3 linked regions of the Struthio camelus genome follow. The protein of the gene in region 3 purifies or fractionates together with the protein of the main gene of each other region. This does not show direct contact. Links are inferred from orthologs where the notes say so. Each region holds a gene or a part of one and is shown on either strand. Other genes may lie near its edges.

Region 1 (7,717 bases), on a different chromosome or scaffold from region 3:
TTCTTCTGCCCCACGGAGACCCCATAGAAACCCTCCTCTGCCCCATAGAGACCCTCCCCTGCCCCATAGGGACCCCATAGAGCCTCCCCTGCCCCATAGGGACCTCATGGACCTTCTTCTGCCCCATAGAAACCTCCTGGAGACCCTCTTCTGCCCCATGGAGACCCCATTGACCCTCCCCTGCCCCATAGAGACCCCATAGACCTTCCTGTGCCCCATAGAGCCCCTCCCCTGCCCCATAGGGACCCTAAAGACCCTCTGCTGCCCCATAGAAGCCCCATAGAGACCCCGTAGACCTTCCTGAGCCCCATAGGGCCCCTCCTCTGCCCCATAGCGACCCCAAAGACCCTCTGCTGCCCCATGGGGCCCCCATAGATCCCAGCCCCAGCCCCAAAGACCCCGTCCCCCGCCCCACAGACCCCCCCCAGCCCCACAGACCCCCCCCAGCCCCACAGACCCCGCCCCCTGCCCCATAGATCCCGCCCCCGGCCCCATAGATCCCACCCCCGGCCCCACAGACCCCGCCCCCTGCCCCATAGATCCCGCCCCCTGCCCCATAGATCCCACCCCCGGCCCCACAGGCCCCGCCCCCAGCCCCACAGACCCCCCCCCAGCTCCATAGATCCCGCCCCCGGCCCCATAGATCCCACCCCCCGCCCCACAGGCCCCGCCCCCGCCCCACAGGCCCCGCCCCCCGGCACCTCCAGCAGCGCCTGCAGCTCGGCCACCTTGGCCGGGAACCCGGCGCCCAACAGCGCCTGCACCTGGGCCGCCAGCCGGGCGCGCAGGGCCTCCTCCTGCCGGCACCGCGGCTCTGCCCGGACGCCTGGGCCCGCGCCCGGACGCCTGGGCCCCGCGCCCGCGCGCCTGGGCCCCTCCCCGGACACCTGGGTCCCTCCCCAGACACCTGGGCCCCTTCCCTGGACACCTGGGCCCCTTCCCCGGACGCCTGGGCCCCGCGCCCGCGCGCCTGGGCCCCTCCCCGGACACCTGGGTCCCTCCCCGGACACCTGGGCCCCCTCCCCGGACGCCTGGGCCCCTTCCCCGGACACCTGGGCCCCTTCCCCAGACGCCTGGGCCCCTCCCCGGACACCTGGGTCCCTCCCCAGACACCTGGGCCCATCCCCGGACGCCTGGGCCCCTTCCCCGGACACCTGGGCTCCTTCCCCGGACACCTGGGCCCCTTCTCCGGACACCTGGGTCCCCTCCCCGGACGCCTGGGCCCATCCCCGGACACCTGGGCCCCCTCCCCGGACACCTGGGCCCCTTCCCCGGACGCCTGGGCCCCGCACCCGGACACCTGGGCCCCTTCCCTGGACACCTGGGTCCCTTCCCTGGACGCCTGGGCCCCTCCCCAGACATCTGGGCCCCCTCCCCGGACGCCTGGGCCCCTTCCCCGGACGCCTGGGCCCCTCCCCGGACGCCTGGGCCCCTTCCCCGGACACCTGGGCCCCTCCCCGGACACCTGGGCCCCTTCCCGGACGCCTGGGCCCCTTCCCCAGACACCTGAGTCCCTTCCCTGGACACCTGGGCCCCTTCCCCGGACACCTGGACCCCCTCCCCGGACACCTGGGCCCCCTCCCCGGACACCTGGGCCCCTCCCCGGACACCTGGGCTCCTTCCCCGGACGCCTGGGCCCCTCCCCAGACACCTGGGCCCCCTCCCAGACACCTGGGCCCCTTCCCCGGACACCTGGGCCCCCTCCCCGGACGCCTGGGTCCCTTCCCCGGACACCTGGGCTCCTTCCCCTGGACTCCTGGGCCCCTTCCCGGACGCCTGGGCCCCTCCCCGGACACCTGGGCCCCTCCCCGGACACCTGGGCTCCTTCCCCGGACACCTGGGCCCCACTGCTACCCATCCTGCACCCTAGATGCCTGGGCCCCGCCACTACCCACCCTGCAACCCGGACACCTGGGCCCTGTCACCCCGGACACCTGAGCCCCACAACAACTCGCCCTGCACCCCGGACGCCTGGGCCCAACCACAACCCGCCACCCGGACGCCTGGGCCCTGCCGCAACCCACCCCCCGGACGCCTGGGCCCCACTACCCAGACACCTGGTCCCTGCACTCGCCATGCACCACCCCGGACACCTGGGCCCCACCACCCGGACGCCTGGGCCCCACGCCCACCCTGCACCCCAGACGTCTGGGCCCTGCACACACCCCGCCACCCGGACGCCTGGGCCCTGCCACAACCCGCCCCTCCGCCCGGACCCTGCACCGCCCGGACGCCTGGGCCCCACTGCAACCTGCCACCCGGACGCCTGGGCCCTGCACACACCCCACTGCCTGGACACCCGGGCCCCACATCCACCCCGCTGCCCAGATGCCTGGGCCCCACATCCACTACACCCCGGACGCCTGGGCCCCACATCCGCCCCACCGCCCAGATGCCTGGGTCCCGCTGCCCGGACGCCTGGGCCCCACTGCAACCCACTGCCCGGACGCCTGGGCCCCACTGCAACCCGCCACCCAGACACTTGGGCCCCACACCCACCCTGCACCCCGGACGCCTGGGCCCCACCACAACCCGCACCCCGGACGCCTGGGCCCCACATCCGCCCCACCACCCAGATGCCTGGGTCCCGCCACCCGGACGCCTGGGCCCCACTGCAACTCGCCACCCGGACGCCTGGGCCCCACCACCCCACACCCCGGACACCTGGGCCCCTACGACCCCCTCAAGCCCGGACGCCTGGGCCCCTGCCCCGCCCCTCTGCAGCCTCTCTCTTCCCCTCCCCTTCCCCGGACGCCTGGGCCCCTCCCCGTTCGGACACCTGCTCCCTCTCCGCTCCCCTCCCCCCCCCCAACCCCGGCCCCGCTCCCGGACGCCTGGGCCCCCTCCTTCCCTCCCCAAGCCGAGCTGCCCGGACATGCCCCGGACGCCTGGGCCCCCCCCCGGCCCGGACGCCTGGGCCCCCCCCCGGACCTGCGGTGCAGCCATGGGGGCAGCAGCGAGAGCGAAAGCGAAAGCTCGGGGGTTCCCCGCGTGGGGGGGGGGGGCGGGGCCAGTGCGCCCCGCCCCCCCCGGACGCCTGGGCCCCCCCGGAAAAAAAAAAAAGGGGAAAAAAATTACCCGAAACCACCCCAAAACAACACGTTTTATTCCCGGGGTTCCCGGTCCAGGTAGCGGGGGGGGGGGCAGTCCCATCCCCCCACCCCAAGCCGGACGCCTGGGCCCCCACCTCACCCGGACGCCTGGGCCCCCCCGTCCCCGCCAAGGGGCCTGGCGGGGGGGCAGGGGGGGCCATCGCTGAGATCGGCTCGCCCGGACGCCTGGGCCCTTGCCGGGGCATGGCCGGGGTTTTGGGGGAGTCCTGGGACGCCCTCCCGGACGCCTGGGCCCCTCCGGGAAACGTGGCTGCCCTGGGCTTTCGGGGCTTCCCAGGACACCCTCCCACCCCTCCCGGACACCGGGGCCCCTCCCGGACGCCTGGGCCCTTCCCAGATGTACGGGTAACCCCATTGCCTGGGTCACCCGGACGCCTGGGCCCCTCCCGGACGCCTGGGCCCTTCCCAGATGTACGGGTAACCCCATTGCCTGGGTCACCCGGACGCCTGGGCCCCTCCCGGACGCCTGGGCCCTTCCCAGATGTACGGGTAACCCCACTGCCTGGGTCGCCCGGACGCCTGGGCCCCTCCGGGACGCCTGGGCCCTTCCCAGATGTACGGGTAACCCCATTGCCTGGGTCGCCCGGACGCCTGGGCCCCTCCCGGACGCCTAGGTCCTACCCAGATGCCCGGGCGCGCCTTGTTGCGCGTAGGGTCGCCCGGACGCCTGGGCCCTTCCCGGACGCCTGGGCCCCTCCCGGACGCCTGGGCCCTTCCCAGATGTACAGGTAACCCCATTGCCTGGGTCGCCCGGACGCCTGGGCCCTTCCCGGACGCCTGGGCCCTTCCTAGATGTACGGGTAACCCCATTGCCTGGGTCACCCGGACGCCTGGGCCCCTCCCGGACGCCTGGGCCCTTCCCAGATGTACGGGTAACCCCATTGCCTGGGTCGCCCGGACGCCTGGGCCCCTCCCGGACGCCTAGGTCCTACCCAGATGTACGGGTAACCCCATTGCCTGGGTCACCCGGACGCCTGGGCCCCTCCCGGACGCCTGGGCCCTTCCTAGATGTACGGGTAACCCCATTGCCTGGGTCGCCCGGACGCCTGGGCCCCTCCTGGACGCCTGGGCCCTTCCCAGATGTACGGGTAACCCCATTGCCTGGGTCACCCGGACGCCTGGGCCCCTCCCGGATGCCTGGGCCCTTCCCAGATGTACGGGTAACCCCATTGCCTGGGTCGCCCGGACGCCTGGGCCCCTCCCGGACGCCTGGGCCCTTCCCAGATGTACGGGTAACCCCATTGCCTGGGTCGCCCGGACGCCTGGGCCCCTCCCGGACGCCTAGGTCCTACCCAGATGTACGGGTAACCCCATTGCCTGGGTCACCCGGACGCCTGGGCCCCTCCCGGACGCCTGGGCCCTTCCCAGATGTACGGGTAACCCCATTGCCTGGGTCACCCGGACGCCTGGGCCCCTCCCGGACGCCTGGGCCCTTCCCAGATGTACGGGTAACCCCATTGCCTGGGTCGCCCGGACGCCTGGGCCCCTCCCGGACGCCTGGGCCCTTCCCAGATGTACGGGTAACCCCATTGCCTGGGTCGCCCGGACGCCTGGGCCCCTCCCGGACGCCTGGGCCCTTCCCAGATGCCTGGGCCCCTCCCGGACGCCTGGGCCCTTCCCAGATGTACGGGTAACCCCATTGCCTGGGTCACCCGGACGCCTGGGCCCCTCCCGGACGCCTGGGCCCTTCCCAGATGTACGGGTAACCCCATTGCCTGGGTCGCCTGGACGCCTGGGCCCCTCCCGGACGCCTGGGCCCTTCCCAGATGTACGGGTAACCCCATTGCCTGGGTCGCCCGGACGCCTGGGCCCCTCCCGGACGCCTAGGTCCTACCCAGATGCCCGGGCGCGCCTTGTTGCGCGTAGGGTCGCCCGGACGCCTGGGCCCTTCCCGGACGCCGGGGCCCCTCCCGGACGCCGGGGCCCCTCAGCGGGGCTGCAGGCCCAGGCCGGGGCGGCCGGGCGAGCAGGGGCAGCGGTACCAGAGGCGGTAGGTGAGGGCCCAGGCGGCCCAGCCCAGGCCGGCGCCGGCGGCGTTGCAGGCCCAGTCGTGCCGGTAGGCCAGCGTGGCCGCCAGCAGCCCGTGCCACAGCAGCAGCAGCGCCACGTTGAGCAGGAAGAGGAGGCAGAGGGCCGTGCCCGGACGCCTGGGCCCTTCCTCCTCCTCCTCCGCCTCTGTTCCCCGAACGCCCGGACGCCTGGGCCCCTCGGACTCCTGGGCCCCCCACAGCTGCCCGGGCCCCTCGGACTCCTGGGCCCCCCAGGGCCAGGACGACGAGATCGCACCCGGACGCCCGGGCCCCTCGGACTCCTGGGCCCCCCAGGGCCAGGACGACGAGATCGCACCCGGACGCCCGGGCCCCTCGAACTCCTGGGCCCAGCGGAGCGGAGACGAGGAGCCGAAGCCCGGACGCCTGGGCCCTCGGGGAAGCTCGCGGACAGGGAGCAGCAAACGAGGAGCCCAAAAGGGGGCGGGGGCCCGGGCAGCCGGACGCCTGGGCCCCGGCGGCGGGTGCAAGAGGCGGCCCAAGGCGGCGGCCTCCTCGGCCAGGCCCAGGCCGCAGTGCACCAGGGCGAAGGCCTGGGGCGAGACGGCGAGACCCTCCCAGCGGTGGCCGCCGGCCCGGCAGGCGCCGGGGTCGGCCTGGGCCGGGGGCGGCGGGAGGCCGCGGCGGCGGGCGGCCGGCAGGCAGCGGCCGGTGGCGGCTTCGAGGGCGGCGAAGAGGCGGGGGGCGGCGCGGGCCAGGCCGGCCGCCACGGCCAAGCGGCCGCCGGCTCGCAGCAGGGCGCCTCGGCGGCCGCCCCCCGGCCGGGCCAGGGGCCAAGCGGCCACCAGCAGCCCCCCGGCCAGCAGGGCCGTCCAGCCGCCGGCCGAGGCCACCAGGCGCCTGCGGGAGACGGGGGGGGGGGGGGGGAAGATGGCGGGTCGGAGTGGGGAGATGGTGGGGGGGGGGGGGGCCGGATGCCTGGGCCCCCCTCCCCTGGATGCATGCTTCCCTTTCCCGGACGCCTGGGTCCCTTCCCCGGACGCCTGGGTCCCTCCCCGGACACCTGGGCCCCTCCCCGGATGCCTGGGTCCCTCCCCGGACACCTGGGCCCCTCCCCGGACGCCTGGGTCCCTCGCCCGGACGCCTGGGCCCCTCCCCCGGACGCCTGGGCCCCTCCCCCGGATGCCTGGGCCCCTTCCCCGGATGCCTGGGTCCCTTCCCCGGACGCTTGGGCCCCTTCCCCGGATGCCTGGGCCCCTCCCCGGACACCTGGGCCCCTTCCCCGGATGCCTGGGCCCCTCCCCCGGACACCTGGGCCCCCTCCCCGGACACCTGGGTCCCTCCCCCGGACACCTGGGTCCCTTCACCGGATGCCTGGGCCCCTTCCCCGGACACCTGGGCCCCTTCCCCGGATGCCTGGGCCCACTCCCCGGACGCCTGGGCCCCTCCCCGGATGCCTGGGCCCCTCCCTGGACACCTGGGCCCCTTCCCCCAGATGCCTGTGCCCCTCCCCCGGACGGCTGGGCCCCTCTCCCGGATGCCTGGGCCCCTCCCCGGACACCTGGGTCCCCTGTCCCGGACACCTGGGCCCCTCCCCGGACACCTGGGCCCCTCCCCAGACACCTGGGCCCCTCCCCGGACACCTGGGCCCTTTCCCCGGACACCTGGGCCCCTTCCCCGGATGCCTGGGCCCCTTCCCCCGGACGCCTGGGCCCCCTTCCCGGACTCCTGGGCCCCTCCCCAGACACCCGGGCCCCTTCCCCGGACGCCTGGGCCCCTCCCCGGACACCTGGGCCCCTCCCCAGACACCTGGGCCCCTTCCCCGGACACCTGGGCCCTTTCCCCGGACACCTGGGCCCCTTCCCCGGATGCCTGGGCCCCTCCCCAGACGCCTGGGCCCCCTTCCCGGACTCCTGGGCCCCTCCCCAGACACCTGGGCCCCTTCCCCGGACACCTGGGCCCTTTCCCCGGACACCTGGGCCCCTTCCCCGGATGCCTGGGTCCCTTCCCCGGATGCCTGGGCCCCTCCCCGGACACCTGGTCCCCTTCCCCAGACGCCTGGGCCCCTTCCCGGACACCTGGGCCCCTTCCCGGACGCCTGGGCCCCTCCCCGGACACCTGGGCCCCTCCCCCGGACACCTGGGCCCTTCCCCGGATGCCTGGGCCCCCTCCCCGGACGCCTGGGCCCCTCACCCGGATGCCTGGGCCCCTCCCCAGATACCTGGGCCCCTCCCCGGGCACCTGGGCCCCCTCCCCGGACGCCTGGGCCCCTCCCCCGGACACCTGGGCCCCTTCCCCGGATGCCTGGGCCCCTCCCCGGACGCCTGGGCCCCTCCCCCGGACACCTGGGCCCCTTCCCCGGACGCCTGGGCCCCTCCCCGGACGCCTGGGCCCCTTCCCCGGACGCCTGGGCCCCTCCCCTGGACACCTGGGCTCCTTCCCCAGATGCCTGGGCCCCTTCCCCGGACGCCTGGGCCCCTCCCGGACGCCTGGGCCCCTCCCCGGATGCCTGGGCCCCTTCCCCGGACGCCTGGGCCCCTTCCCCGGATGCCTGGGCCCCTCCCCCGGACACCTGGGTCCCTCCCCGGACACCTGGGCCCCTTCCCCGGATGCCTG
Region 2 (7,614 bases), on a different chromosome or scaffold from region 3:
CACGCGTGGCAAGTACCAAAAATTGTAACTCAGATTCCTTATGAACAGAATAGATTTAAATAGCTGGAAAAAAAAAATCAAAAGAGTATTTACTGAGACTTGAAGACGATGGTGACTTTATTATGGCTTCCTTTCTTCTACCAAAAATCACATCATATTATTACGTAATTTACTCTATTGTTACACGTTCCCATTAAACTACTTAGACCCACACTAAAAAAAAAACAAAAAACCCTAGCAAATTAAAACCATGGGCGGATCTACCTGAAGGAAGGGGCAGGAAAGGGAGGAAGAAGCTAAAGGAGCTGTAGCTACTTCTCCCTCACATCCACCCTCAATGGCACAATGCACCCTCATGTCTGTATGAGGCCGGTGTAGCCAACCATCTGTGGAACTTCCCTTCTCTCATTATCAGCATTGCACGTAGCCCCAACACAGTTTTTCAGATTTCTAGAGGGTTTTTTTTTTTAAATACCACTTAGTTGCTTGGAAATTTTTCTGCTATCTTTCATCACAATTTTGGAATAAAACCTGAGAATTTTTCATCTTGCCTCCAAATAATTAGATAAACGCACAACAAATTCCTGCACAGTTTAATATGGTCCAATTGGCAGACACAAGCAGCTTGCCTGCCTACAGCACCATGTGAGGGCTATTTCTCCTGATAGGAATGAAGAGGACGATGGTCCCACTACGTTCTCTTTCACGACTGACAATTCTTTTCACTTTATATTTTATTTTCATACTTCAAAAGAGTATTTTTAAAAGTATACATATCAAAATTCCTCATATAAAGGTTGTACTAAGGGATATTTTGTATATGAAATTAGTTCCAAAACACAGAACTACTTGCTTCCAAAGAATGCAGGAAAACAACTTCTCAGAGTCGCAAGCTCCTCCCTAAAAGGACAGGATCCTGTACCAAGATACGCCATGGCACTAGGCTGTACCCACAGAGTCTCCTCTAGAAAGACTCCTTCCTAGACTAACTCCTTCCAGTAGTTGGTAAGAGCTATTATCTGCTTAACTACTGTGTCTGTTGTCAAACAGGAAAAATCTTAACAAAGCATCCAAAAGATGTGCCTTTCAGCTGCACCAGGAACGCGGGGTCACACAGATGTATATCTGTGAAGCATGAGGTGGGAGCTATTTCAGCAACCCAAACTTCATGCAGAACCAGACAGGTCTCTTGCTCTACGATAGGCCCCTGACTCACAGGGAACTGTAATAACTATTAGAAAGGAATCATGCACTTATCTAGTGAGTGGAATTTCAGACAGGCTGTACTTATTTGGTATCTAGAATCAGTTTTCTCAAGAAGACAGCACTGAGGTAGGCAAGAGACATATTCCTAACTTCCTTAAGAAAAGTGCATGTTCCAGCAAAAACATACAGTCCTGTAAAAGTGTCAAATCTGAAACATCTCAGAGCTGCTGAATTAACTTCTATGGCATAGCTAAAAAAAAAAAAAAGAGAGACAAATTTACAGCCAACCAACCACCTATACTTCAGGCAAACATTAAGAATCAAATATTCTGAAAAGGTTCTCTACTATGAAGTACAGCAACCGACACAGTAAGATACCTCCTTTCTTGTCCTGTGTCGTACAGGTCAAATTCTCAGACTTACCATATCATCACTTTTTTGAACTTCTGCCTGAGCCTTCTGGCTGTCAGGTAGCCCATTCTGCCTTTCTTCTTTTGGGCTGCTGGCCTGACTTTTGTTGGGGATCAAGGCGGACGGTTCATGACCATTCTGGAGTGGCGGAGGAGTAGAAGATGAGGGAGGAGGTAGGCTGGGTTTTGCATCTGCTTCTTCTAGTAATAAACATATCAAATCACCAGAAACAATCCCATATGAAGCCAAGGTCTTCTGGTCTTCTGTGAGAGCATCCTTGTTGTTCAGTGTTATTGAAAACTGCGCGTCATAACTGGAAAGTAATGGAAAAGAAATAAAGTGTGGTTAGCTGCATCTGGGTAACTGAACACAGGTATTGAAATGTAGAATTAGAAATGTATATTGCATACTGCTTAAGTACTGTTCCACAGGTTTTAATCCATTAAAAATTAGCTATACACTTAAAGGAAGAGCAGGGAAAAACTAAGGGTTATGCTATGAAGTGATTCCCTCATTTTTCTCTCCAAGCGTGTTTTAAATAACTGAAGTTGCTTAGTGGGTATAACTTCATCTGCAATAACCGCTCATAAAACAGATATGAAGGAAAGCAAACAGGTGCCTTCCAAATTAAACATATTCAACCTAATAAAACAAGTGTTAAATAAACCACTGACTCAGATCACTTAAAAACAGGACACTATTGCAGATTCAAATCACCTTGCTTTCCGATTAACAAAACATTTGCTTCAAAAGGTCAGCAGCTGCCCTCCAGCATGGCAATTACAGATGTGGGCAGTAAGAAAAGCTGCTTCAGCGCAAGCAATTACAAAAAAATAAAATAAACATGAACGTGGTTAGCATGAAAACCGTTATCAAGTACCAACTACAAAAATATACCCAGCACGGCAGGACGTACAATAACTCCAGCCTACGGTGGTATGCTGTACAGTGCAGTGCCATCGAATGTACGTACTGCCAATGAAACATGAGTTTCATCCTCATACCCGGTGACAGATTTGTGACTACAAACTGTTTCCACGCTACTAGAAAAGGAGTTTCTTCTGTAGGCAGCTCTTCCATTACCTTAACAGGTTTTATCCTCCTATAAACGTTGTCATGAGTTCTTCACACGTAAAAAACCTTTTATGAAGTCTAAACCCAGAGAGCCTCTAAGAAAGCCACAAAACTGTAAAACAGACATCCAGCCGCAACTCTTTGTAACATCAGCGCCACCGAGCAATACAAGCCAGCTCCGGCCGAGCTGCGCCCCGCGTTTCAAGGGCGGGCACGGGCCGAAGCGCGCTGCGCGTGCCGGAGCGACCGTTAACGCTCGGCAACCGAAACGTAACTGAAGTTTCCGTGACCTACCAGCCCTACCAGCCCTGTGCTACCCGGGGAAAACGCAGCTGGAAGGTGTGCCCGAAGGAGGGCAGTGACTTTTACCAAGTGCTCTGTGAGCTTTAGCAGCCTTCGACACGGTCTCGCGAAGTGACTAAAACCCCCGGAGCTGCAGGCCTTTAACCTCACGCCCCCCCACCCCCCGGCAACGTTCAGGCGACGCCGCTGCGCCGCCCTCCCCCGCCGGCTCCTGCCCTAGCGAGGCCCAGCGGGGTCTCCCCACACAGCCCTCCCAAACCCGGCACTCGCGACGGAGCCGGTTACGCAGCACCGGCCGGTCCCGCCGCCCGGCCCGGCCCGGCGTCCCGCTCCCGCCGCCCACAGGGGGCAGCAGCGCCGCCGCTCGCCGGGGCCCTTCCCCTCCCTCTCTCTTCCCCCCTCCCCCCGCGCCGCGTGGTACGGCCCCGCCAGCCCCCCCCTTCCCTTCCCTTCCCCTCCCTTCGGCGATGGTTCGCTCCGCACGTTACCTGTACCCCCAGGCGGGCAGCACGGCCTGGCGCAGCTGCGCGCGCAGCTCCCCCAGCGTTGGCTCCGCCCCCTGCACCTCCAGCGGCGCCGTCCGCTTCTGCAGGCGGACGCGAAGCTTCATGATGATGGCGGCGGCGGGTCTCCGCGCCCGCCTGGCGCTCCGAGCTGGCCCCGCCGGGCGGCGGTGATGGTGGCAGCGGGCGCAAGGGCTGCCGGGGCGTGTCGTTGTTTTGGTTGGCGCGGCGCCGCCCCAGCGCGGAGCCGCCCCGCCCCGGCGGGCCCGAGTTGCGCCGCCCCTCCCCCCCCCCCCCCGCAATCGCGCACCCAAGAGCAGCGCGGCCGATCGATGCCTCAGGCTTCCACGCTGTGCCTGCGCGACGCCATCGGTGATTGGGCGCTCGGGCTGTGCCTGCTGCGCATGCGCCGACGCGGATGTACCCGCCCTTCCTCCTCTCTTTTTTCCGCCTTCGGGGGGGGGGGGGAGGTGAGGGGACCTCTGGTGGTACTGTTGTTTTGGGTTGCTTCTCTGTTGTTATTCCAAGGTTATCCCCTTCCCCGCCTGGAAGGAGTAACGGGAATGATTTCTGCAGATTGGTTGCCTGCCTGTGTGCTGAGTAGTTCGGTTTTGCCTCGCCTCCAATTTTGAGGCCCTTTTAGATATCATTCTAAAAAGGTATTAAGGAGCCTGTTCCTGTTTGGGTATTAAACTCTGTGCAGGCAAAGCTCATGGAAACAGATGATCTAGGGGAAAGGCTGAGGGAGGGCACTGAGTATGACTCTTCCCCCCCTCCCCCCAAGGTACACTGGTGAACTGTCATCGTAGAGGTAATGTATTAGACCTGTAGTCAAATGTTGCTATGTCCTTAGCAAAAATACAAAGTACAGCAAACTTTTCTAATGTTCTATTCTACTTTCATAGTCAGTGCTACTCAAAAAAGGCCTCCCTCCACGCCTTAGATGTAAAAAATAAACTTCTGCTTTTATCTAAAAAAATACTTTTTTCAGAAAGTCTGGTAGGAAAAATGTAAAAGGTGGGCACAGATTATTCAAGTTGTTTACTTTGTTTAATGACTTATATTAATCCTTTAAGGAGAACAAATCCCTTCAGTGTGAGTTCAGAGATAATCTGTGTACAAAAGTTATCTTGTTTTTTGGTGGTTTTGTTTTTTGTTTTTTCCCTTCAGATGCAGTTATGAACACGAAGAAATCTTAGGCCTGTTGAGAGCAGAAACAGGGCATCCATTTATGAAGATACGTTCCTTACATGGAGAGAGGAAAATATGAATGAGGTATAGCAAGCCTAGAATACTCTGTAGGAGTATAATAAAAGAGTAGTGCTAGGTGAAGTGAATTTGAAACAGTCTGTACAGCTGCCACCAAGTACAGCTGCTTATTCTGGTGCTATTTACATTGCATATCTCCAGTATTCATAGGAAAGGCCTCTCTCTCTTGTTTTAGTCCTTCTGGGGACAGGTGCAAACAGGAGAATGAAACTTCACAAAACCTGTTCTGGGCTATGGTTGAAATCTCAGGCTAGTTCTTCTGTCATCTGAACATGGTCATTCAACTGAGGTAAATGTGGCTGTTGCATTTCACTTCAGAGTTTGGTGTCAAATACACCTATGGGCATATTTGGGCAACCATCATCTGTTTTCAATATCTTAAACTTCTCAGGGGAAAGGAGAGGGCGTATGGAAGAAGAAGACAAAAGGAATGACAAAGGCACTTTACGGAAATGGAAAAATACCATTCAGTCAACAATGAAAGAACTGGTGCTTGTGCTCAACCTTGTCTTGCACACCTGGTCCTTTAATGAGAACATTAAAACAAGTTGTTTCATGAGGGGCTTACTGACCCTTTTATGACAGCCCCAATTTGAGAACTACTTATGCAATAGTCATCAAATGGGGCCACACTGTGGACAGATGCCGGAAGGGTGGGTTGCTGTGGCAGAGGGGTGTGTGACTAGAAGGAAGTGGCAAAGGCAGGGACAAAGAAGATAGAAATGAAGAGAATATTTGGGGAGCAGTCAAGAGCACCATGCCTGCCAGAAACTGCATTCCTCTCTCTTGGAGAGGGCTGCATCCAAAATGAGTCATGCTGGTGCCTGAACAGTGGGACAGCTTCCCAGTGGCCACAGGCCTCCTGCTGTGTTTTGCTCTTTAGCGTTGTCTCTGTCCCAGCCACCTCCTGCGTTCCCATTGGCCCCAGGGCTGCTCAGTCCACGTTCTCCTTTAGGAAGGGAGGAGGGGACTCCCCTAGTCTGAGAAACGTTGATGAGTACCGTTGCGATGTTTCCAGCAGAAGCACCATTTAAGTAGCTTGCACAAGCTAAGGTAGTTGTGTGAAGTAAGAAGGTTCAATTCCTCAGGCTCCGGCCATGCTATTCATTATTAGGTAACCAGCTACACCATTTGCAAGTGAGCACTTTTGCTGGCATTTTGCTAAATGTTTTTTTGAATTTCATGAGTCATGCCACAATGCAAGGTTCAGACCTACTCTTCACACAGCAGTATTAAACAGGAAAATCTCCTAAGAAACAATTATGGTAAAAGCCTAAAACATGCTGTACAGCTTTAATGTTTGTCTGTGCCAAATTCAGCTGACCTAGAACCACCATCATCAAGGTGCAAGTACAACCTGCCAATCTCTGCTTCTGAGGTTTGACTGATGGAGTGAAACTATTGACAATGTTTCAGACTCCTCCTCGCAGCCTCAAAAGGCCACAAAAAGGCTTTTGATTGGGATTGATTTCAAGTTGACTGAAATAAAAAAATAATTTAAGCTAAACCAAAAATTACAGTTTGAGGGAGTCAGAAGTACTGCTTTCTTTTTCCTCCCACATCTATCTGAAAGAGCTGATAGTTGGTGTTATTTTCTCCACCTTTTTGAGTTTTGTCTCTTTCTGTAGGCAAGAGAGAGTATGGCCAAGTATGAGCTTGACCTCAGGCTAGGAAAGTCATTGTACCAAGGTAGCACAAGGAACTTGTGTTCTTACAAGCTTGAAGAAATGGTTGTATGCAGAATTTTGACTTTCAGCATGGTATGCCAGTGTCAGATATGATGATTGTATATTCTTCTTTAACAAATTAGACTAAAAAAACAATGTGATAGAAAAAGAAAGTTATTTTCAGCATTCGTATGCAACTTGAAGTAACACAAAATGGTTGTTAAGTATAATATGTTTCCTCAACTCAACATTTTTTACTCAGGGTTTTTTTTCACATGGTCAGTATAAAACACAGGCAATAGAACCCCTTCCACCTAAGTGGTAAAACTGCACCGTTAGCAATAATGTTAAGGTTTTACTTGAGAAATTTGAAACCTGATACAGCTGTAGTCCTGTTGACCTGCAGTCAACTTCCCATGGCAGGGTAAAACTATAAAAAGTAAAGGTCCTTTTGGTTCAATTACTTACCTCATGGAACATATTTTTTTTCTGAAAGCTGAGTACAGTAATAAGGCTGTGAGCCAGTGGATTTTTTCCATTGTTTTTCTTTCTGTATTTGCCACTGTAAAGATCTTGTTTTATAATACATATATATTAAGTACATATATGTGTATGTATATTAACTCTTTTGATACTGATATTTTGAGTGACTAGGGTCACACTGAGAAGTGGTAAAATGAGCAAGAGAAGGGGCTGGAGACTGGAGCATTGTCGGGAAATTTGTGATCTCATGTCACAGAAGTGCGATAGTCTGAAGTACCATTTTGAGCGTGCCACTGGAGGACATTCAAATCAAAGCCAGTGGAAAGGACCTCTTAGCTTCTCGCAGCTTGATAGTGGACAACTTCACTCCTAAAAGGCATTTTAAAGCCCTTCATGCTATTGGTCTATAACTAACACATTTGGTGGAGGTGTGCTTTACAAGCATCTCAGATCAGCGGCCTACATAGGGCCCTTATGCAGTCTGTGGATCTTGTTCACATAGCTCTTGACTGCTTTAATCTACTTCTCATGAAAGTACTTGTTCAAATGGGAGCAAGGGACCTTTCAGTGGGTTTTCTGGGCCTTTTCATACTGCTTCAGGCCTTTTTTGGCCACCACCATATTTTCCTGGATTTATTCAGAGATTGCAGTCTACTTTTTCATAGTAGGAGTAGGCAGCGCGGCCATTGACAGCCCTG
Region 3 (7,717 bases):
AGGCATTGCCCAACGGCTGCCACCCTTCAGGCACGCAGCTGAGCACAAGTCTTAGGTGAGGAAGGGATACTTGATGTCACTTCAGATGTCTGTTTGTTAATAAAGCTATCACACACGAATAAAAGCTCCTCCTAAGAACCTAACACACAGACACCACACTTAGGATGTCAGAAGAGCCACCTGAGTTGCGGCAGTTTCATATGTAAGCTTATCAACTGATCTGGAAAAAGAGCAAAGTCAGAAAGATTCCAGAAGATTTCTGCTCTAGAAGATGTATTTTATCAACAACACAATGGCATCATGACTGCATCCATTTAAGAGCTCTCACTTCACAATTCCTTAAAAAGCAAGATTTATTACTTTTTGACTCCTCATTTAAGCAATGCTTCAATGAACTTAACGTGTACGAGGAAGATAAGGCTAACAACCCTCCTCCCAGGCCAAACAGGCCCACTAAAAGCTTCTTTGCTTCATCATTTACATTAAAAGCCCCCAGAACACTTTTCCCCAAGTTTAAACTTGTTCCCAATCAATCTTCAAGTTCTCAGGGACAAGAACAACACTTATTTAAGAACGCTTAATGCCCCCCAAAAGGCCCATCAGTTCTGCAGATGTAGATTAGCTTGCTCATAGGCACGCTACCTCTCACCTTTACCATCAGGTTTTAAAATTCACTTGAGCAAAACGTGACCAACTCCAAGCTAAGAAAAGGAATGTCACGTTGGTAATAACAAGAGAAAAGCTGCTCTGTTTTTTTAAAGGGACTCCATAAAGCACAAGGACCAAGAGGCAGCACTCCATTACCTCAGGAAAGTTAGGAGAAAGCATAGCGCTTGTTTGCTGTTAGGGAAGTATTTATGGACATTTAAGTGTCACCCTACTGATGTCAACTTTTGTAGTTAAAGATTCACGGCATACAAACATTCAAAACCTCTAGCTTCAGCAATAGTTTTTAGTAGTTCTGATTTTGGGATTAGCATCTTTGGATTGCATTTGTTTTAGGAGTAGATTGGTGGGGGCAACGTTCCCCGGCTTCCTCCTCCTGAGCTGCAGTGTTTTTTAAATTCCTCAAGAACTATAATATAGAAGAATAGAGCTACAGGAAGCGTAGCAGCTGTATGGGAGAGATTAAACAACCCTTCTGCTAAAGACTGTACATAAAAGGAAGCAAAGAGCTGCCAAAAGTCACATACAAGAACAGCACCTATCAGAACAGGCAGCATCTCCCAACTCCTGCTCAGTGTTGCGTATTACCCTTGGAAGTTGGCCAAGTTCTGCTTTACTATAGAGAAAGACCAGAGCCCAAACTAACAGAATGTGCCTCTGTTGGATTTTGTTGCTTGCTTGTTTTCTACTGGCGGAGGGGAGCGTTTGCTATTTATTTCAGTGTCTCTGTCCAAATTTAGGCTCCTCGTTTGCGAGGGTTCTCAAGATCACAGTTCAGCACCCAGGTAGAGTTGATACGGTTGTAGCATGAGAGAGCTCACGGTACCTTAATGGCCTCAATGGCATACTCCACTTGGAAGAGCCTCCCCTCCGGAGAAAAGGTGTTCACACCCCTGCAAGAACAACATCAGAGATGGCATTAAGAGGCGGGAAACTGCAGGCCGTCAGGAAACGCAGTTCCTCGAGGGTTCATGAGCGATGAGGGTACAGGTCAGGCCGGCTAGGAGGAGGTAACACAGGAGCAACACATTTCAGCAGCTGGAATACTTTATCGCTTCATACTCCTCACCCCAGCAGCCTGTCACCCTGATGGCAGAGGCTCATTGGCAAGGTCTGGAGCCAGGATACTTAGAGAGAAACAGGAAAGAAATTCCAGCAGATCTAATCACAGGTCAGAAGGAAGTTTAATCTAGTGAAATACTTTACGTTGTGGAAGCTGGAAGTAAACTGTCTTTGGAGTCCAAGCAGCATGCTTTCTTTCAGCTCCGGGAGACAGCAGCCTTCTGCTTAGCCCAAACAAAGATCCATTCCCTTCTTCGGGCATCCCATTGCTGCTCTCCCCAGATGCTAACCCGACCTGACTTTTAATGCCCTTCCGATTATATTGGATAAGGATGGAGATAATGATGCAACACTGGCCATCTGTGTACCAGCAGGCCTCAGCCAAACACATTTTGCTGGTAAGCAAGAACAACAGCGCGGCCAACAAGTCCGTCCACACGCAGAACGTTTCCAGAGGTTTCCTAACGTTCAGCTCCTTCCTCGCCTTACGAGCAAGTTACTAAGATAAGGTACAGCCTTACGAAATCACTGCCTGCGGGTAACACCGCTCAAGTCAGAACTTCCACTGGTTGGCCCTGATCCTGGTGTAACCAGAGCGCACCCCCCCCGCCACACCAGGGCCCCGAAATCCTTTCGGCTCGCTGCTAAGAAGGCAGAAACCGGGAGCTCTCTAGCAGCATGAGAGGCAGCCAAGGGCCGCCCTTGAACCCGGCGGAGCAGGGCTCTCTGGAAACGGAAAAAAAGCCCACATTAAAACAAAAATAAATAAAAGAAAGGAGGCGCGAGAGGAAGGAGGGAAGAGAAGGAGCGCGGATCGGGCGAAGAGACGAGAGCCGGGGCCGGCTCGGGGGCAGCGGCCGCAGGCGCGGGCGGCCGGGCAGGGCCGGCGCGGCCCAGGCGTGAGCCAGCAGGGCCGCGCTGGCCCCGCCGCTGGCGGGCTCGGGCCGGGCCGGGGCCCCGCCAGGCCCGGGGGCAGCGAGGCGGCGGCGGGGACGGGGCCGGGGCCCGGCTCGGCCCGTCGCCATGGAGACGGCGCGGGCGGGAGCAGGCCCGTGACTCAGCCGCAGGCCGCGGCCGCCCGGGGAGGCGGGAGGCGGCGGGGGGGGGGGGGGCGGCGGGCACTCACCGGTCGTACTCGGAGCGCGTGAGGAACATGGCGGCGGCGGCGGCGGGAGCGGGGCCGGGCGCGGCGGGCGGCTGGTGCGGGCGCAGGCCGGAGCGCCGCTCTCCCCTCGCCGGGCTGCCCACCACTTCCTGCCGGCGCCCGCCACCGCGCAGGCGCCGCCCCGCCCCGCCGGCCCGCTTCCGCTCGCCTCGCCGCCCCATTGGGCCGTCCTGGTGGGCGGACCCCGCGCCGCGCTCGGGGGCGGGGCAAGAGCGGCCGCCAGCGGGGATTGGTCGAGGCGCTCCAGAGGGGCGGGACGGGGACGGTGCAGGGGGCGGGGCCAGGACTAGGGGCGGGGCCAGGGAGACTGGGGGAGGTGCGAGGGCAGAACGGGGGCGGGGCGAGTCTCACCCAGAGGGGGAGGGGCCGGTGCAGCAGCGGGAGGGGCGGGGCCTGCGGAGTGGGGGAGGGGCGGAGAAGTGCAGAAGGGGGTGGGGCAGGGTGGGGGAGGGGCAGGGTGACCCCCCCGCCCCCCGGGGTGCGGCTGCCACCCCCGGCCACCCCCCTCTGCCCCCACCCTGCCCTTCCGCTTCCCCTACGGCGCTTCCTGCCCCAGGCGCTGCCGGTGTCACCCGCTCGGTGTCACCCGCCGAGGGACAGAGCGAGGGACCGAGAGGCTAATGGAGAGACGGGTGATGGTGGGTGGAGGGGAGGGTGGACAGGGGGAGCATGGAGGGGCAGCAGGACGGAGAGATGGATGGATGGGCTGACGGGCTGGCGGAGCGAGACGTGGACAGATGGGTGGACGGACAGATGGACAGATGGATGAATGGATGGATGGGCAGATGAACAGATGGAAGGATGGATGGACGGACATAGAGACAGATGGAGAGACGGATGGATGGTTGGATGGATGGATGGATGGATGGACGGAAGGAGAGATGGATGGACAGATGGACGGATGGATGGACAGATGGAAGGATGGATGGACGGGCATAGAGACAGATGGAGAGACGGATGGATGGTTGGATGGATGGATGGATGGATGGACAGATGGAAGGATGGATGGATGGATGGAGAGACAGATGGAGAGAAGGATGGATGGTTAGATGGATGGATGGATGGACGGACGGAGGAATGGACAGATGGATGGATGGACAGATGGAAGGATGGATGGACGGATGGATGGATGCATGGAGGGATGGAAGGATGGATGGATGGAGAGATGGACAGATGGAAGGATGGATGGACGGATGGAAGGATGGACGGATGGACGGATGGATGGATGGATGGAGGGATGGAAGGATGGATGGACGGACAGATGGAAGGATGGTTGGACAAATGGACGGATGGATGGACAGATGGAAGGATGGATGGATGGATGGAGAGACAGATGGAGAGACGGATGGATGGTTGGATGGATGGATGGATGGATGGACGGAAGGAGAGATGGATGGATGGACAGATGGAAGGATGGATGGACGGATGGAGAGACAGATGGAGAGACGGATGGATGGTTAGATGGATGGATGGATGGACGGACGGAGGAATGGACAGATGGATGGATGGACAGATGGAAGGATGGATGGACGGATGGATGGATGCATGGAGGGATGGAAGGATGGATGGATGGACAGATGGATGGATGGACAGATGGAAGGATGGATGGACGGATGGATGGAGGGATGGAAGGATGGATGGATGGAGAGATGGACAGACGGACAGATGGATGGATGGACAGATGGAAGGATGGATGGACGGATGGATGGAAGGATGGATGGATGGACAGATGGATGGATGGACAGATGGAAGGATGGATGGACGGATGGATGGATGCATGGAGGGATGGAAGGATGGATGGATGGAGAGATGGACAGATGGAAGGATGGATGGACAGATGGAAGGATGGACGGACGGACGGATGGATGGATGGAGGGATGGAAGGATGGATGGATGGACAGGCGGACGGACAGACGGACGGATGGACAGCCGCACGGAGAGATGGGCAGATAGACAGATGGAGTGAGAAACGGGCGGGCGGCTGGACGGCGCGGCGCGGGGGCCGCCCGAAGCCGCCGCGCTGCGGCCGGGCCGGGCCGGGGGGCGGGGCCGGGGGCGGGGCCGGGCCGGGGTGCCCCGGGGGGGCGGGCCGGGGGCCGTCCCGGCGGGGGCCGGGGCCCAGGCGGGGCGGGGCGGGGCGGCGCGGGCGGCCCTGCCCGGGGCCGCGGGGGCTCCCGGCGGCGGCGCCGGGGCGGCTCGGACAGCGGCGCGGCCGCAGCGGGCGGCGGAGGCAGCCCCGACGGCGCCCACGGCCCCCCCGGCCCGGCCATGTCGGAGCCCGGCGCCCCCGCGGCCGGCGACAAAACGCCCCGGCTCCAGGTAGGGTCCCGCTGCGCCCCCCGGGGCAGCCCCCGGTGGCCTGGGGCAGCCCCCCCGCTGCGGCCCCCCGCTGCAGCCCCCCCGGTGCCACCCCCCCATTGCAAGCCCCCGGTGCAGCCCCCCGGTGCAGCCCCCCGGTGCCACCCTCGGTGCGACCCCTCGGTGCAGCCCCCGGTGCCACCGCCAGTGCAGCCCCCCAGTGCCACCCCCTGCTGCAGCCCCCCAGTGCCACCCCCATTGCAGCCCCCCAGTGCAGCCCCCCAGTACCACCCCGTTGCAGCCCCCCAGTGCAGCCCCTCTCTGCAGCCCCCCCAGTGCAGCTCCCCAGTGCCACCCCGTTGCAGCCCCCCAGTGCAACCCCCCGTTGCACCCCCCCCAGTGCAACCCCCTGCTGCAGCCCCCCGGTGCCACCGCCAGTGCAGCCCCCCAGTGCCACCCCCTGCTGCAGCCCCCCAGTACCACCCCCATTGCAGCCCCCCAGTGCAGCCCCCCAGTACCACCCCGTTGCAGCCCCCCAGTGCAGCCCCTCTCTGCAGCCCCCCCAGTGCAGCTCCCCAGTGCCACCCCGTTGCAGCCCCCCAGTGCAACCCCCCGTTGCACCCCCCCCAGTGCAACCCCCTGCTGCAGCCCCCCGGTGCCACCCCCGGCGCTCACGGCCGCTCTCCCCCGCAGGACCGCGTCCTGGGCGGGATGCGCTGGGGCCGCCTCCAGGAGCCCCTGGGCTTCATCAAAGTGCTGCAGTGGGTGAGTCCCCCCGGGTCCCCGTCCCCGTCCCGTGGGAGCCCCTCGGGCGCAGCCCCTTGCCCGGCACCCCAGGGTGGCGGCGCTTCCCCCCCAGCCGGGCTCCAGCGTTGCGCGGTTTCGGGGTCACCCGTCCTTTTCCCAAGACCTGCAACAGCCCCCAGGGACGAGGGGACCCGCCGGGTGCCAGCAGCGCTGGGTGGGGGGCACCCCGGGGGGGCACGTCCCGGCGAGGCCGGGCGTGGGGCCGCCCGGACGCCTGGGTCCGGCCGCGCGGCCCTCCCCGGTGACCTTGAGCAGGTGGCTTTGCCCGGCCACGCCGGAGGGGACGGTGACGTCGAGGTGCCGCGGTGGCCGCGGGCTTCGGCGGTGCCACGGGGGGTTCCCGCGCCTGGGATGGGGGGGGCAGCGATGGGGGAAGCCGGGCGCCCCGGGGGCGCGATGGATGGTTGCCGGATTATATTTCGGGGCAGCGGGTGCGTCCCTGGGGTGGCAGCGGCGGCGTGCTGGAAAACTCCGGCGGGGAGCGCCAGGGACGGGGTGGGGGGGGCGGCAAGGGAGGCTCCTCGCCGCTTCCCGCGCCGAGGGGCCCGGCGGGAACCGTAAAAAATCGCAGCGGGGGCCGCGGGGCGGGCGACCGCCGCCCCCGCCTCGGCCTCTCCGGGAGCTGGCGCGCCGCGGCCGACAGCTGCGGGGTGGCAGCCCGCCGCCGCCGCCGCCGTGACTCAGCGCCGCCGGCCTCGGCGGCCAAATCCTGCGCCCGACGCGCCGTCGCTCTCTCCCAGCTTTTCGCCATCTTCGCCTTCGGGGCCTGCGGCTCCTTCAGCGGCGAGAGCGGGGCCACGGTGAAGTGCAACGGCGAAACCAAAGAGATGAGCGCTATTTCGGTGCAGTTCGGGTATCCTTTCCGGTAAGGGCACGGGGACGGGCCCCGGTGTCCTGCGCGAGCACCCGCTGCTCCGACGCCGGCCGGGACCCCTGGGGACGCCGGCCTCGTCCCCCCCCCCCCGGCGTTGCGGCCGCGCTCCCGGAGTGCGTGGAGGCACCGCGGAGGAGGGAGCGTGCCGGCGTGCGCGCGGGGCGGTTTTGGGTGGATATAGGTTTTGGTGCATTTCGGGTGGATCCAGGATTCGGCGCGTTTTGGGTGGATACGGGCTTTTTTTCTCCTCTCTCCCTTGCCCTCACCCGCAGCCGGGCGATAGAGATTTTAATAGGGGCAGGATGCTCCAGCGCCGTCCTGCTCTGCCGGGTCGTTTCGGGGAGCCGGGAGCATCGCGTGGACCCGCTCCGGCCGGCCGCTCGCCTCGCGGCGCGCGCGCGCCGAGGCTGCGAGGAGCCTCGCGAGCCGGAGGGCGGCAGCGGGCGGCCGGCCGGCATCGCTCTGCCGCTGCGCCCAGGTTGTACCAGGTGCCCTTCGAGATGCCGGACTGCGAGGGCGCCGGCGAGAGCCAGACCCTGCACCTCGTCGGCGACTTCTCGGCGCCCGCCGAGTTTTTCGTGACCCTGGGGGTCTTCTCCTTCCTCTACGCCATGGCGGCTCTGGTGCTTTACCTGCGCTTTCATTCCCTCTACGGCGAAAATAAGAAGCTGCCCTTCGCGGTAAGGTGGCGCCGAGCCCGATCCCGCCGCGCGGCCCCGGCGGGCCGGCGACGGCGCTCAGCTCCTGCTCGTCCCCGGCAGGATTTCTGCGCGACCGTCTCCTTCGCCTTCTTCTGGCTGGTGGCGGCGGCGGCGTGGGGCAAGGGGCTCAGCGACGTCAAGGGG

Evidence for each region. Proteins that work in one complex are often made in the same cells at the same time.
Region 1: the proteins of PSMA5 (region 3) and PSME1 purify together in Homo sapiens (co-immunoprecipitation; 5 studies listed by BioGRID and IntAct, with this or other methods). This does not show direct contact. The link is inferred for Struthio camelus from reciprocal best matches to the Homo sapiens genes PSMA5 and PSME1.
Region 2: the proteins of PSMA5 (region 3) and FBXO7 purify together in Homo sapiens (affinity purification with mass spectrometry; 3 studies listed by BioGRID and IntAct, with this or other methods). This does not show direct contact. The link is inferred for Struthio camelus from reciprocal best matches to the Homo sapiens genes PSMA5 and FBXO7.

Annotation. Positions count from the first base shown.
Region 1 is NC_090970.1:244,311-252,027, forward strand, and holds the start of PSME1 (proteasome activator complex subunit 1), read right to left. Parts: upstream 3,012-7,717; 5' UTR 2,947-3,011; coding exon 2,932-2,946; intron 2,756-2,931; exon of another isoform or gene 2,397-2,755; intron 2,333-2,396; exon of another isoform or gene 1,797-2,332; intron 847-1,796; exon of another isoform or gene 817-846; intron 798-816; coding exon 702-797; intron 1-701. UniProt on the Homo sapiens protein: Implicated in immunoproteasome assembly and required for efficient antigen processing. The PA28 activator complex enhances the generation of class I binding peptides by altering the cleavage pattern of the proteasome.
Region 2 is NC_090942.1:61,036,945-61,044,558, forward strand, and holds the start of FBXO7 (F-box only protein 7), read right to left. Parts: upstream 3,012-7,614; 5' UTR 2,698-3,011; coding exon 2,534-2,697; intron 1,931-2,533; coding exon 1,630-1,930; intron 1-1,629. UniProt on the Homo sapiens protein: Substrate recognition component of a SCF (SKP1-CUL1-F-box protein) E3 ubiquitin-protein ligase complex which mediates the ubiquitination and subsequent proteasomal degradation of target proteins and plays a role in several biological processes such as cell cycle, cell proliferation, or maintenance of chromosome stability.
Region 3 is NC_090965.1:4,151,303-4,159,019, forward strand, and holds the start of PSMA5 (proteasome subunit alpha type-5), read right to left. Parts: upstream 3,011-7,717; 5' UTR 2,884-3,010; coding exon 2,855-2,883; intron 1,560-2,854; coding exon 1,493-1,559; intron 1-1,492. Other genes in the region: SYPL2 (synaptophysin-like protein 2), read left to right, coding at 5,162-5,212, 5,885-5,956, 6,739-6,863, 7,351-7,552, 7,634-7,717. UniProt on the Homo sapiens protein: Component of the 20S core proteasome complex involved in the proteolytic degradation of most intracellular proteins. This complex plays numerous essential roles within the cell by associating with different regulatory particles.